Linked DNA regions of Notamacropus eugenii. The protein of the gene in region 2 purifies or fractionates together with the protein of the main gene of each other region. This does not show direct contact. Links are inferred from orthologs where the notes say so. Each region holds a gene or a part of one and is shown on either strand. Other genes may lie near its edges.

Region 1 (7,904 bases), about 140 Mb from region 2:
TTGATTGGTCTTTTCTCTCCCATTTCATTCCCCATCCCCATCTGAACCTGGTGGTCTTCCCTTCACAGCTGGGCCTGTGGGGTGATCCTGTTCACACTCCTGGCTGGCTCTCCCCCATTCTGGCATCGACGCCAGATCCTGATGCTAAGAATGATAATGGAGGGCCGATACCAGTTCAGGTCACCAGAATGGGATGACCGATCAGCAACTGTCAAAGACCTGGTGAGTAAATCAAAGGCTCAAAGGGGTGGGGGAAATGCAGTAGTAGTTCAGGAGTCAGGAGAAGAAGTGTCTCATGGCCCCTACCCCTCTCTTAGATCTCAAGGCTACTCCAGGTGGATCCTGAGGAAAGACTGACTGCAGAGCAGGCCCTGCAGCATCCCTTCTTCCAACGCTGTGAGGGTAGCCAGGCCTGGAGCCTTTCTCCCATCCAGCGATTCAGGGTAAGGAACAGAGAGCAGATATTACAAGACAGAGGTTCCTGGGAAAACAAAACCCACTACTACCACACATCTACCTCACTTTACCCTTCCCTTGGACCTAGGTGATAAGAGATGACATTGTTTTCGCTGGGACTCAACTATCTTCAGAAATCTCAACTCATACTTTTAGTGTGTCCGTGATCTTGTTTTTCTTGTGGTTTTCTTTCCTCTCAGGTAGCAGTATGGACAGTGTTGGCTGCAGGCCGAGTAGCCCTGAGCAGTCGCAGGGTAAGGCCAATGAGCAAGGGAGCTCTATTAGGAGACCCATATGGGCTCCGACCAGTGAGGCAACTCATTGACAGTTGTGCCTTCCGCCTCTATGGACACTGGGTAAAGAAGGGCGAGCAACAGAACAGGGCTGCCCTCTTCCAACACCGGCCTCCTGGCCCATACCTGGGCTACAATCCAGAAGAGGAGGGAGATCCAACCAACACTGACGATGAATCTGTTGTTGCGTAGTTAAGACCTCCATCGTGGAGCCCCCAGAAGTCTGCTTCCCAGCCCGAGAGCCTTGGGAAGGACAGATTTCCCAATCTGAGAGCTTCAATCAACTCGGTCACCTTGGACTCTGGCCGAAGGCATTCTTCCCTTCTCTTGTGCTCTCTGATGATGATGCTACTGGAAAGGGGACCAACTCTGTGCCCCCATCCCTGTTGCTCAGGACTACAGGACTTGAATGGAAGGAAAAGGGACCAGCTGAGAATGATATTCACATCTTTGCTGTTGCTGTCCATTTTTCATGTGAAATAAATCATCCTGCACACTGGGAAACAAGCTGTGTCTCAAGATGGAGTGAGAAGGTGCTCAAAAGGGGACCTGGGGGAAGGAACAGGGTACTTCTGGCCCAGGCTTTTATTTGGGTAAATACCCCAGGGGTGACTTGGCTTTGCTTTTACTCTTGGAGACCAAGGTAGGATTCTCAAGGGCAACCAGCCTGCTATTGAGCTGCTCCTCGCCAGCCTTCAGCCGTTCCTCCACCAACTGCCTGAGCTGTCCTAGCTCATGGGTAAGCTGGGCTGTGATGAAATCCCGGAGTATATCGCCTGGACCTGGGGTTGTTGAAAAAGTGGTTCAAACTTGAGCCAAAGGAACCTTTTACATAAGAGAACCTCAGTCCCACATTGTGAGGAGAGAGGATTCATGCATGGTGTATCACAGTGCCTTATCAGGGAATGTCATGAGAGGTAGGAAATACACTGTTCTCAATTCAGTATTCTCAATTTAGTCCTTAAGGAGCTCCCTTTGGCTAGAAGGAAGCCCACCTAGAAAGAATGGGAGCAGAAGACATTTTTTTCTACAGGATAAGACAGAACAGTTTCCCAGGGAGGGCTTAGGGAAACAGGTGCCCCTTGATTGCTTACTTGGCTCTTGCTCGGTTTTTATTTCTGGTTCTGGCTCTTCGGGAACAGGTAACACCGTCTCCACTACCTTTTCTTCCTCTTGTACTGAAAGATGAAAGGGAGTGGAGCCATGAGCCCCATGGCATACTTCCCAACCCTCTTCCCAGGCCTAGTTTAATCTCCACCCTTCTTACCATCTGCTGGGGGCTTTACTTCAGGCAGACCTATATATCGCAAAGACAAGTCTAACCGCACCTGGGAGAGCAGAGGGAGTTCGAGAGGAGGGAGAGAGGAATGACAACTATGTTAAGATAGAGAAATGAGAAGGAATAGACTGGAAAGTTTCGTGTATCCTGTGGGACCAGTACCTGGGGGGTGAAGACATACTTGTAGAGCTTAAAATGACGGAAGTAGGTGTTGATGATATAATCTGATAGACTCAGCAGCTGTTCCTCTCCAAATAGGTCAATGCTGAAGGGGGGCCGCTGTGGGAAAGGGTAGGAATATATAGCTTGGTTCTTTTTCTTACAGAACCTTCAGAACAAAGAAAGGAAGAAAGTACTATAGCTTTGGCCTCCTAGGACTTGAGGTAGTTAAGGAAGGAAATAAAAAATTCTACAGGATGGAGCATTGGATGGGGATGTTTTAAATTCTTCAGAGTCCTCATTTCCTCTGTATTGGGACTGACCCTGACTCCATGGCAGAAGAGGAGGCTGGTGAAAAATCGGAAACAGTCTTCCACGTTGCCCAAGGGAGTTGCTGTGGAGAAGGAGAAATGAGTGACAGTGATAACTCCCTTAATCATGTGGAAAGAAAGGAATAAAATGACCTAGGTTATAGGAATAAGGACTGGGCCTCTTAACTCTTAATGATAGATGGAACTCTGGAATGAGGTAACCCCCTGTTTATGCAAGATGGCACTTTCTCTGCAACTTCTTAAAAGAGTTGCCTAGAAACTGAGAAGTTAGAATTTAGGTTACTTGTTCAGTGTCGGTCTGTATCAGAGGTAACTCTTGAACCCAGGGCTTCTTGGTTCCAAGGCTATTATATTTCTATTCGCTACTACCTGTCACTGTCACCTGGAATAAATGAGATTTCTCTCTGTCCGCCCCCCTCCCCAGCCCATTTGCTCTTCTACAAAAGGTTGAAGTAAAATTCTTGAGATCCCTCCCAATATTCTACTGTTAACCATGTTCATAAGTCAAATCAAACAAGCATTAAGTGTCTACTATGTGCCAGGCACCGTGGCACCGAGGAGCACAAAAACAGTCTCTACCCTCAAGAAGCTCGCAACCTAATGGAGACAACATGTACAGAATGATAGCTACAGGATAAATAAGAGACACGGCTTCTGGGGTTACTAGCTCATTTCACTGCTGCACCGGGACAGCCTCACCCTCGCCCTTACTACTACTACAGTTGCTCAGCCAGGACCAAGCAAGCACTATTTGGTGCTCATCACTGACCTTGCCTACCTCAGGCTCTCCCCTCCCACCCACCTTTCTCAGCCTGGATGTGACGAATCCTTGCAAGGCCCTTCTCCCAGGGGGTCTCACCAACTCACCAACACAGGCCTTGTGGAGGTCCTGAAGCAGAGCGCAAGCTGCTGAGGTCTGCTCCTGAGAAAAACGCTGTTGCCGGCAGAAGATCAAGGTGTGGCAAAACATATCCAGTAGCACTGCCTCCCTTGGGCTCCTGTCTGTCAGCCCCAGGCCTAGCAGTTCTGCCAGCAACCTTGGGGTGGATTAAGGTGAGGGTAGAGAGCAACCAGTTGAGGAGTAAAAGATCCTTTTCAGTCACCCCATCCTGTATTCCTAGGAAAGTATCTTTCCTCCTCCTGTGAGCGCCCTCCCTCCCTGTTTTCCTCATCCATTCAAAGAAACAGATTATTGGGGTGGGGAGGACCTCTGAAGTAATCTATTTCTGAACCCTCTTATTCACTTAGCCCGTACTCCTGCATCTCTTCCAAGGTGGTGGTTTTCTCCAGTAGGTCCATAGAATGTACATCCAGGTATTTCCTGCCATTGGAAAAGAAAAAAAGGGAGGTAGTTGGAAGGTAGCTAGGAAGAGGAATCCACCATGTGCCAGTTGGATTGAGAGTCAAGAGCCCTAGTCCTAAATTTTATCAGCTTTCTGCTTGGCCCTCTCAGGGCCTTTTCCTTATCTGAAAAATGAAGCCGCTGGACTAGGAGAATCCTAAGGCCCATTCCCTGCTGACCCCACGCTGCTCACACCCCTACCCACACCTAGCCCAGCCCCACCCGCAGGCCCAGGCCCAGCCCCGAGCTCACCACAAGCAGATCCGGGGCTCAGGAAGTGGCGGCTGCGAAGAAAGAGGGTTGTGTGACAACGCTGCTACGTTAGCGGCCTGGGGATCTCCGCTCTCGGGTGGCTCGGTTAGGCCGCCCGGGCGCGAGAGCTCCCCTGCGGTTCACAGGCCGCCCCACCTTCCCAGGGACGCGGCGGGAAGTGCACGGAGGACATGGGTCCTTTCTGCGGTTCTTCGCAAAGACTGGGCTGAAGTCCTAAAGGCCGACCCGACCCGCTCCCCGGGATCCCAGGAGGGGGGTACCGCCCCCGGGAAAGCTCAGGTAATACACCTCCGGCTGGGCCTCCGGGAGAAACAAGCGCGCTCCGCCCTCACCGGCAGCAGGTTGGCGCCCGGCTCCTCGGGGCTCTCTCTTTCAGGTTCCGGCTCGGGCTCTCCATTTGGCTCTCTCTCCATCTCCAAATTCAGTTCTGCTTCCTGGTTCAGATCCGGGGCCGCGTCCGGCAACCCCTCAGAATTCGGGTCCAACCCCAATCCCGGTTCAGAATTTAGTTCGGAAACTCCGCTAGATTTTCTTCGTTTCATCGTGCCACCCGCTGTTCCTCCGCCTTGTATGCCTTCGGGCCTAAGCTACGGGTCCGAGCATGGAGGCCCTGCCCTCTGTGGGAACATGTCAGCCAATCGAGATCAAGACATAGTCTTGTTCAGCCAATCCGTGGGAAGCGTCGTTGCTGGGGTCAGTGGTTGCTAAGGCGGCTCGAGGGCGGGGGTAAAGGCGTGACAAGCGGGAAGAGCGGACCAATAAATGAGGAAATGCTGCGCAAGCGCAGTATCTTCCGCCGCGAATATGAGCGGTCTCCTCACTACTACCAATAAAGAGGAGGGTGGAGTTACCGGGACAGGGGCAAGGCGGCATGGAGACGGTTGCCATGGTACGTGGTCGTTTCACCAATCAAGGAGAAGAGGATGGGCTGCTGGGTAAGAAAGCGTTCCGGAGGCAGGAGGCGGTTCTAAATGAGTCTCTGACCAATAGGAGAAGAAAGCAGACAAATTTAGCTACGTGCCCTCCCACTCGTCGGCGCCTGCGCGCTTTGGAGGCATTCGATGCGACATCCGGTGACGTACATCATGGCGGCGTTCGGCCGAACCTGGGACAGGTGAGGGGTCTCCTGAGACCGTCGGGGGCCAGGACCGGAGGAAGGAGGCCGCCGGCCACCTGGGCAGCTGCCTGGAGAAACTGAATCCTCCCTGGGAGGAGGTAGGTAGGAAGGAGCCGGGAAGGAGCCGGGCCTCCCCGCCCCCACTGGGATCCTGAGCCTCCCCGGGCCCCGCCTCTCCCTCAGGTGAAGGGGGAGCCGCCTCTGGTCGCCCTCCTCCTTTCCAGCCATGTCTGGGGCCGGCAACAAGCGCGCAGCCGGGGATGGGGGCTCGGGCCCCTCGGAGAAGAAGCAGAATCGGGAGGAGAAGACCACGACCACCCTTATCGAGCCCATCCGCCTGGGAGGCATCTCCTCCACGGTCAGTGCGGCCCCTCCCCCCTGCTGCGCACCCTTACCCCGCTTCCCACGCCTCACCCCCGCCATCCCCCCCAGACCCACTGTATTTGGAACCCTGACCGTGGCCAAGTCAGTTATGTGCCCTCGGAGCTTCAGGGTGCTCTGTAAAGCGAGGTTAACTCACAAGGAAAGCCCCCGCGTTGTCCTCATTTAGGTAATTGGACCTATCCAAGTCTGATCTCATCCTCCCGAGAAGAGATCACAGTCTGTCTACCCGTCTCTCATCTTTTCCAGTTCTTGTCTCTGACTTTATGTAAACGTTCTGCGGGGAAACCTGCCCAAAACACTGAAGGTCTGCTTGTTCCTTGAGTGTTTGGGGAGAGCCACTGTGGCACTCCAGCTGTCCCTCTGTTATCCTTCCAACCCAGTAGAGACTCACTCACTTTTATGGCTAGATGTTTTTTGTTGATATGTTTTCACTAATATTTTTAATGCTTTGTTGATAGAAGGCTAGACTTTGAGTCAGGAAGACATGGTTCAGAATCTCGCCTCTGATACAAGTCACAATTTCTCTAGCCTCACTTTCCCCTTGTGGGAAATTTGTAATGCCCACTTTGCAAGACTGTTACGTAGTTTAAAAGATCATATGTAAAGCACTTTACAAACTGTCGGGTGCTGTTTAAATTCGGTTGTCAATATTAGGGGCCCCCTTGTTAGAAGTTACAATGAGATTTTGACTCACCATACTTTCTATGGGGCCTTGCTTTCCATTTCTCTTTTTCTTAACATTTTATTACAGCCTTTCTCACTTTTTTCTTATGTTCTTTTACTCACTCTGCCTTCTACAGGAGGAGATGGACCTGAAAGTGCTACAGTTCAAGAACAAAAAGTTGGCAGAGCGACTGGAACAACGACAGGCGTGTGAAGATGAATTGAGGGAGCGAATTGAAAAGCTAGAAAAGCGCCAGGCCACCGATGATGCTACATTGCTCATTGTCAACCGCTATTGGGCCCAGGTATGTCTCCATCAACCATGATTCCTGCCTTTTTGCCTAAGTTTAGCTAGTCCAGAACCCTAGAATCAATCCCCTTCCCTCTTCTAGGCTATGCGTCTTCATTTTCTTGTTCCTTCTACCTCAGACCCTGCGCCAGTCCCCAGTTTTTTCTTCCTTGAAATCTTTTTAAACTTCTGCTTCAGAGTTTTCATCGTCCCCCTTTGGGGAAAGGTATTTTTGCCATTGAAGCCTCCAGAAAAGTCATGTTCTCTTGTGACACCCTCACAGCTGGATGAAACTGTAGAGGTTCTACTCCGACGGCATGAGGGACGAGGAGAATTACTATCTAGGATAGAGGAACCAGGAGCTCAAGATGGCACTGAACTTGATGGGACCCCTCTGCCTGAACCAGGAACCACAGACAGAAGAGGTGAGACCAGCAGGGGAGAGATAGTGAAAAATTGTGGAGAAAGTGATAAGCAGAGTGGAGACTGTACAGGTTTTAAAGTGACATATAAATGTTAGTTATCAATAAAAAGCCCATTTGTTAGGAGTTATGGTAGGGTTTTGATTCACCTCACTACACTTTCTGCAAGATCCTGCTTCTCATTTCTCCTTTTCATTATTGCTCTTCACACCCTATTGCATACCCATGTCAAATATAACAATCTTATTTGGATCTCTGTTTCAGATCTTCCCACCCTCCAGCTTCGGCCCCCCCTGAGCGAGCCAGCTTTGGCTTTTGTGGCAGCCCTGGGGGCCAGCAGTAGCGAAGAGGTAGAACTTCAGCTCCAGGGCCGAATGGAGTTCTCCAAGGCAGCAGTGTCCAGAGTAGTTGAGGCCTCAGACCGACTGCATCGTCGAGTAGAAGAACTGTGCCATCGAGTCCACAGCAGAGGTGAACCCAGGAGCACTCAGCCCCTTCCCTGTTCAGAACTGAGGCATATCAGCTTTTATTTGACTGCAGATGCCCATAGCAGACCTATTTATTACACATGTTCCCCAGTTCCTTCTAGGAACCTTTAGTTTGTCATGTAATTTCCTGCTGCTAGCTTTTTCTTCTGGTTGCCATTGTCCTCTCATTGGTCCCTACCTTTCCAGGGGAGTGTGAGTCCCTCGGAGAAGGACTTAGAGCTTTAACCAGGGAACTTGGACAAGACAACAGGCGACTACAGGACTTGACCACCCAACTGCAGGAAAAGCACCACCGAATCTCTCTGGAAGTAAGACTGCTGACATGGGGCACTTGGATGAATGTGGGAAGGAGATAAGAGAACACTCAGCCCACCCCTTGCTACTTCACCTCCACAGTACTCAGAACT
Region 2 (7,896 bases):
ACATTTCAACATCTTCATGGGCTATTTGCCTTTCTTTTCATCTCATAAGAATTATTGGGGGGAGAAGGGAGGACGCGGAGTTAGGTGGCATAGCAAACAGGCATATAGGTGATTCAGTGGATAAAATACTTGACCTGGAGTCAGACGACCTGAATTCAAATCTGGCCTCAGACACTTAACTGTGTGACTCTGGGCAAATCACTTAATCCTGTTTGCTTCAGTTTCTTCATCTATAAAATGAGCCGAAGAAGGAAATGACAAACCTTCTAGTCGTAATAATAGTAGCAGTAACAGTAGCTGCAACAATAGCCAGCATTTATATAGTATTTTGGGGATTTGCAAAACACTTTATATATGGTATCTCGTTTATTCCAGTTAAACAATTGCTGAATAAATGAATACTGTTGCCAGAATAATCTTGCTTAGGAGTAGAACTACTTAAATCATTTCACTGATCAAAAATCTTCAGTGGCTCCCTATTCCTACAAGTTTAAGTTTAAAATCTTTTTGATTCAAAGCTCTTTCCAATTTGATATCACTCTGTCCTTCCAACTTTTATACTATCCATAAGCCATCAATGTCAAACTCATGAAACCAAATATAAGGCCGCATATTGCCTTACAAAACCACATATTAACATTATCAATATTCTATTGTATTTTTATTTTGTTAAATATTTCCCAGTTACATTTTAACCTGTGGGTAGGCCTCCTTACTAACACCTCTGTTCTAAATTTAGACCCAATTGGATTACTTTCCTCTCTCACACTCTCCCCTACACTTTTCCTTTCCCTACCCTTCCCTCAAGCCATTTCCTCTCTATAGGATCATAGAGCTGAGTCCAACTCCCCCATTTTACAAATGAGGAAATTCAACCCCAGAAAGGTTAAGTGATTTGTGCAAGGTCATACAGGTAGTAAGAATTACAGCTAGCATCCAAATTCAGGTCTGGTGACTCCAAAATCAGTGGTCTTTACACTGCATCATACATCCCTTGGGTGAAAGTTCACCTCATCCAGGTGATCTGAACTCACTGAGGCCTGCCAAATATGATCTTATCCATCTTGGTTCTAGACTCTCTACTAATAGGTTTTGATCTATTTTTCCAAGTCTGAAGATAATTTTTATTGGTACAGAAAACAGAAGAAAAATATAAATGTTTCTGCTTTTTCTCCAGTGTCCAACATCATATTTTGTTGTCTTATTTAATTCAATTCAATTCTATTAACATGTATTAAGTGCCTAATATATACAAGGCACAGTGCTACGTACCAGGCCATATGAAGAAGGAAATACCTAACATTTACAAGAGTATTTTTAATACACATTGCATATGAAGTTCACTACACATTTCATACACATTGCCCCATTTGACCCTTACAGCAACCTCATGAGGCAGGTAACACAAATGTAACATGGATTATGCAGAATGAGAACAGATATTTTCTGCATGCCTCTAGTTGACCCTGTGGTGCTTTGCAGCTGCTTGTGGCCTTAGGTTGACCCTTTGGTAAAAGCACTTGGTGATATTCTGTGGCATGGAATGGTCCTCCCCACCTGATAGAGTGAACAATTCAGATGCCACTGTCTCATCTTGATCTCATAAAATCACCTGTTCTAAGAAGGAAACACAAGAGAGGCAGGGGCTGCCAGAGGCCCAGGAGCAAACTCACGTAGTTGGGTCCTCCAAGCACCAGCTTCCATGTTGTTGGGATCACCATGTTGGTAGGGAGTAGATGACCTTGTCCTTTCCCCACCCCGCAGTGGAGTTACACCTTGACCCATCATGGTCAAAGATGGACAATCTAGAAGCTATTTCTTTTAACAGATGTTGCACCTCAATCCCTTGCTATTTTGGAGAAGGAGTAGAAGACAAAAGGACCACTCAGGGTTTTCCACATCATACCAAAACAGCAAGTTCTTTCAGCAATGAGTCAATACATCTGGAAATAGTCCCAAAGTGGGCCAATCAAAACTAGACACAGAATATCTGGCCATGCTTTGTGCAACTCACCTTATATAGGTATTTCTATTTTGGATATGAAGAAAGAGGTCATATGATCATAGATTTAAAGCTGGAAAGGACCTTTGTGTATACCACATTTTACAGATAAGAAAACTCAGGATCAAAGGGAGGCAGTGGCTTGCCCAAGGTCATGAAAGTAGTAAATGTCAGAACTGAGATTTGAAGTGAAGTCCTCAGGTTCCCAGTTTAAAGTCTGGCTAAGTGATTTATCCTTGGGGATTTGAACACATTTCTCTTGACTCTCAAGTCCGTATGCTTACCACTACTCCAAGCTGTCTTTGTAAGAACCTTTTCCCAAGTACCTCACATAATATTTCATTTTATACTTTTCAAATGTACTTAATGTAGAATATAATGAATTGTAAGTATCTCAGTCTGTATAATCCCCATATGAAACCACTCCAGAGCATCAAAGACCATTTTTAATATAAACTTTGTTATCTCCCCCAGTAGCTAGACCAGCACTATGAACACAATAGGTGTTTACTAAAAGTTTGTTGATCCAGTGAACAAATGTTGTCATTGGTGACCATAAAAAAGCAAACAAAAAAAATTCTAGAATCTCACTTCACTTTACATATTTCCTAGAGCTGACAAATAGTGGGGACATCATTCTTTGAAGAGGTCAACAGTTAAAACTGTTAGTTTATTTTACTTTTTTCTTTTTGCTACTGAGTCACTTGGGGACCTACTTACTTTTCTAGTATCTAAATTAAAGACTAGAAAGTGCTTTTATGCTCTCAAATCAGAGGTAGCTCAATGGGGAAAATTCCCATTATTAGGTAAGAAGTGAGGTCACTGAGCAAAAAAAAAAAAAAGATAAGATTTCATCAGTGTGGATATAACCACTCTCCAGTCCCATAGACCCCAACCATCTAATATATTTAAAAGAATTTCATGAGTTGCTGGAGCAAAAGAAAAAGTATCCCTTGGTGACCAATCCTTTTTTGATGAGCTTCTCCAAACTTAGCTGAGCTGTTTCTCAGATGACATCTAGTCAATCTGGCCCATCCACACTTAAAAGCTTTTCTGGCTTGGTCTGAAACCTGCCAAATTTTACGTTAAGAAGTATAGAATTTTTAATGGAAGAAACTAATATTCTGGATCTTCTACAATCAAATGTTTCACTAAAATTATGTTATTAACCTTGCTTAGCCATATCCCTGAAAAATATTTAAAAAACAATATAGCCTTTATTTACAGATAGTGAAACTAGGGTAATCACTTTGCTATTTATCAGTATCAACTTGACCCTATAACCAAGGCAACATATTGGATGGTCTGATTGCTTCATCTTACTGTAAAGGGGATTCTCTCGGAGTAGTTTTATAAAATTCCATTTAGCAAAGCCCTTGGATTTTTTTTTAAGGATGCAATTGTGTTCTATTCCCACCCTGGATCTTTTGCTAAAATAGCTGAATTTACTTGGATTTCAATTAGCCAAATCCTCAGATCTAATGATTTTTAAAATCTTTTTTAATTATTCGATAATGGGTATACTCTCCACTGACATGAGGGTAAATGCGGGTTTCTTTTATTACCTTTAAAATCTGCGCAAAATTTATTGTAGGTCAAACGTTTCATTCGCAAGGAAGCAGCCAAATGCTTTCTATAGCTGTTTGGGGTCTACTTGGGGGGAACGAGAGGATGGATATATCATTTAAAGGAATCCTATTACCGTCCCTACATAGCACACAAGTTGGTGCCAGTAGGAAGGTAGAGGGAGAGAGTTGAAGAGCGACCAGTTCCGGCATTATGGTCAAGGGTTTTAATTTCCAATGCTCTTTTGCTCCAGCTGGGTTTCAAGTAGCTTAGGCAAAGAGTATTTGCGATACAAACCCATGAGTCAAGAAGCTAATGAAATTGTCATGCAATATTTTAGCTGCTCTTCTGCCTGCACAGGTACAGATATGTACACACACACACACACACACACACACACACACACACACACACACTACAGCCAAAGTTGTCAGGTAAATAAAGTTTCGCGTACATCTGGCCATCTGTGTGCGCATACGTACATACACAATTCCAATTAAGCTAGAGTTGTCATGTTTCGCACGCATCGGTCATTGGCGTGGGTATACACACATATGCAGACAACTGCTATTAAGTTAGAGCTGTCATGTTTGCCATACATCTGTCCACTGGCTCCGTACACTCATAGACACACACGCACCCTTTCAAGGCAGTCATTTCACACACATCTGGCTACTGGCGTGCATACACACCACACATTCACACAACCCCTATTAAAGTCACGTATCCTGCACATCTGGCCACTGGCGCGCATACACATACGAGCACACACAAAACCCCTATTAACTCAGAGTTGTCATGTTTCACACACATCTGGCCACTGGCACGAGTACAAACACATACGTACATACAATTTCTATGAGCCAAAGTTGTCATGTTTTGCACACACCTGGCCACAGACACGCGCAGGCGCACACACACATACATACACACCCTATTACGTTAGAGTTGTCATGAAAATAAGGTTTCGCGCACATCTGGTCCCTGGAGAGAGAAGGGAGGGAAGACACCGGCGCCGAAAGCGAGGAGGATCGGGCGGTACTGGGCCACGAATAAAACGAGAGTGCAGGGGCTCCCAGTGGCGGACCGCGGAGAGGCAGCATTTACGCACTGGGAAGAGCCAATGAAGTTCAAGGTGGTGGTGCTGTCGCTGCTGCCCTCGGCACTGGCCGTTAGGGGGCAGCAAAGGACGCCCGCGCGCTCCCCGGCCAAGCTCTCCTCCGCCTCCTCCCTCCCCCTCCTATCCTCCCCTCCCCCATTACGTCTCTCTAGGTTGCCGACCCGGCGGCGGGGCGGGGCCGCGGGACGCCGTGTTCCCACAATGCTCCGGGGCGGTGCCGCCGCCGCCGCTGCCGCCGCCGCTGCTGCCGCCGGTACCGCCGCCGCTGCCGCCGTCGCCGCCTCCTCCGCTGCCGCTAGTGGAAGAAGATGGCGGAGGGAGGAGCGGCGGATCTGGACACCCAGCAGTCCGACATCGCTACGCTGCTCAAAACCTCGCTCCGGAAAGGGGACACCTGGTGAGGGGGACGGGGCGGGGCGGGGACTGAGGCGCCCGCGGCTGCTGGGGGGGAGCCGGGCGGGAAGCGCCGGGGCTGGTGTCTTTGCTGAGTGACAGGTGCGGGGGGCGGGGGGCAGGTCAGATCGGGGACCGTGGAGCGCTGGTGGGGGGGTGGCGGGGAGGTCAGAGGGTAGGCTGGAGGTGTGAGGTCGCGAGGGGGGGTGGGGGCTGCTGCTGCCTGCGTCCCGCCCTCCCGAGCCGCTCCCAGCCTCGGGCCCTCATCCGGTGAGACCCTGCGGAGGACAGGGAAGGGGCGTGGGTGGACAGGTCCCATCCGGCCCGGATCCGGAGCTTCTCTTCCTTTCTTTCCGTCGTTTCCTCCCCTTGGACCGACCGCCAAGTTTGCCTGTCTGGTGAGCCTCGCATCCTTCCGGGCCGGACAGGCTGCAGGCCGCACAGGTGGCATGGGTCGGGGCTCCGCCGGAGGGGAAGGAGCCCCTAGTTTCCCGGTCCTTGTCAGAGGAGTAGTGCGGAGTCGGGATCGTGGAGGCCCCACGTGGTCTCGGGCTTCCCAGGGAGCTTGTCATGCAGCAGGAGCAGCGGTGAAGGGGGGTGGGGGGGGCGTTCGCTTTGAATTTCAGCCCGTACCTTCCTGACTCAGGGGATAAGAGAGCCCTGCAAAAAAAAGATAAGTCCGTGGGAGATGAACTCACTTGCTGATGGTATGGGTAAAGCTCTAGAGTTAGATTACTTAAGAACCCAACTAAGGTAGGCAGGTGATTCCATCCCAAGGAGTGGAATTTTTCATATCCCCAAACAGTCAATCAGTTGGTAAGCATTTATTGAGCTCCTGCTGTGGTTCGACGTACTGTACTAAGTGCTGGAGCAAACGAAATAACATTTATCTGCTAAATAAGCTAAAAGTGTAAATGTGGCTATGTGTAAGAAGGGTTGCTTTATTTAGTCAGTAATCATAACTATAGGTACCATTTATATACCAAGGACGTCAGGCATTGTACTAAGCACGTTACAATTATTATCTTACTGGAACTTCATAACAACCCTGGGAGGAAGGTGCTGTTACTATTCCCATTTTACAGATGAGGGAACTCCGACAGACGGGTTAAGGACCCAGATAGGAAGTATCTGAGGGCAGACTCGAATTCAGGTCTTGCTGAGTAATCCAGGAAGCCCTTATAAACTTTAATAGCCAGTTGTGTTCCAGGCACATCGATAAGCATTACATGCAGGAAAAGACGATCTAAATTCAAGGAGCTAGTGTACAAAAGCTTTTTTTTCTGATTGATTTTTATTTAAAGTTTGAAGAAAATTAAGCATTAATGTCAAAGCCTGTCTTGACTTATGGTTGGATTTGTATCCTCAGTCCTTAGCACATAGTGAGTGCTTTTTAAAAAATGCTTATTGCCTGCCTTCTGGAAGTCATTATTTTGTAGGGCTGAGTGAATGATTTTGTTTTCCTCAGTTGCTGTAGTTTCTTCTCAGTAGCTTCTGCAGAGTGCCAAGAGCCTGGGTTAGGTGCCTAATAAATGTTTATTGGCTGACCAGCTGTGTACTTTAATGGGGCATGTACCTTCAACATTTAAATGAATTGTGAGATTACAACAAAGAAGAAGCAAGTTTTAATGCCTCTTAGTAATCTCTATAGTTCATCTTCTTGTGTGAAGTTTACCGATCATTGGAGAAATAGAGCATATCTGGATTACTCAGGTTTAACCTTGGCGCAATGGTTCTTTCAGTATGTGGTCAGTAATTGTCCTACTGTGTGTTAAAGAAGACATTGCCTTATAATGAAAATTTAGGCTTTGAAACAGAAGCTAGTGTATCAAGGTTTGAAATTTTACCTCAGCTTTTTTAGTAATGTCATTTAATGATAAAATCTAGTAGAGACCAAAGATCAACCTAGCTAAGCTCACAGAGGCTTCTTGCCAGATTGGCCAAGTGTGATGAATTTTTGCTACAGCAATTCATGAAGCCAATTTCTGAACTCATGAAGGAATTGCAGTCTTTGATTGGTAGAAGAAACATGTACACAAATGAAAGTGCAGGTGCTTTAATACTGTAGTCAGAAATCTATGACACTTATTAGGAGCAGTATACCTATTGTCATGCATGTGCCCATTTTTATTTAAAGGTTATAATTGTTAAGCTTTTGCTTTATGATAAAGTTACTGAGAACATTTTCTCCTTATATATAGAGGTTTAGAATAGGAAAGAATTTTAGAGATCATGTAGTCCAACTCCTTTTATATTACCACTGAGGAATGTGAGGCCAAGATGTGGTATTAGAGGTAAATTCGATCATGCAGTAAATGAATTGCATCATTTTTCACTTTTAATTAAAGAAAAGCAAAAAGGGGCTGAAATTGTATATGTTGTGGTAGATATTGGGAGACCTGACTGATTTATAAATGGGGGCTATATTCTAACTGTAGTCTAGCAGAGGAAATCTGGCCAAGTACTGAAAAAAGAGTTTTGCTTTTTTTTAATGATAATGTAGTAGTATTAATCAGTTTTTGTTTTTAAATTGAAATGTAACATGGTTCATTGTTTTTAAATTAAAGTGATATTTTTCTTTTAAACAGTTCAAATCTTGCCTCAGAAGCTAGCTGTTGACCCTAAATGGATCACTTAACCTCTCTCAGCCTTAATTTCCTCTTCTGTAAAATGAGGATAATAATAGCACCTGGCTTACAGAGTTATTTTGAGGATCAAATGAGATAACATATTATATAGCACTTTTCAAACCCCTGATTAAGGTTTCCTATGGGGGGGGGAGATCTTGTCTACAGGTTTGTAGACAAAAGGGTCC

Evidence for each region. The genes of interacting proteins can lie anywhere in the genome.
Region 1: the proteins of USP15 (region 2) and RNF40 purify together in Homo sapiens (affinity purification with mass spectrometry; 4 studies listed by BioGRID and IntAct, with this or other methods). This does not show direct contact. The link is inferred for Notamacropus eugenii from reciprocal best matches to the Homo sapiens genes USP15 and RNF40.

The regions. Positions count from the first base shown.
Region 1 is NC_092874.1:377,895,239-377,903,142, reverse strand, and holds the start of RNF40 (E3 ubiquitin-protein ligase BRE1B), read left to right. Parts: upstream 1-4,891; 5' UTR 4,892-5,023; intron 5,024-5,124; 5' UTR 5,125-5,349; intron 5,350-5,434; exon of another isoform or gene 5,435-5,475; 5' UTR 5,476-5,477; coding exon 5,478-5,609; intron 5,610-6,435; coding exon 6,436-6,603; intron 6,604-6,870; coding exon 6,871-7,012; intron 7,013-7,273; coding exon 7,274-7,480; intron 7,481-7,683; coding exon 7,684-7,805; intron 7,806-7,893; coding exon 7,894-7,904. Other genes in the region: PHKG2 (phosphorylase b kinase gamma catalytic chain, liver/testis isoform), read left to right, coding at 69-222, 318-443, 657-941; CFAP119 (cilia- and flagella-associated protein 119), read right to left, coding at 1,335-1,531, 1,844-1,927, 2,017-2,077, 2,191-2,307, 2,511-2,581, 3,387-3,556, 3,775-3,840, 4,114-4,145 and 1 more.
Region 2 is NC_092874.1:239,034,101-239,041,996, forward strand, and holds the start of USP15 (ubiquitin carboxyl-terminal hydrolase 15), read left to right. Parts: upstream 1-4,885; 5' UTR 4,886-4,996; coding exon 4,997-5,085; intron 5,086-7,896. UniProt on the Homo sapiens protein: Hydrolase that removes conjugated ubiquitin from target proteins and regulates various pathways such as the TGF-beta receptor signaling, NF-kappa-B and RNF41/NRDP1-PRKN pathways.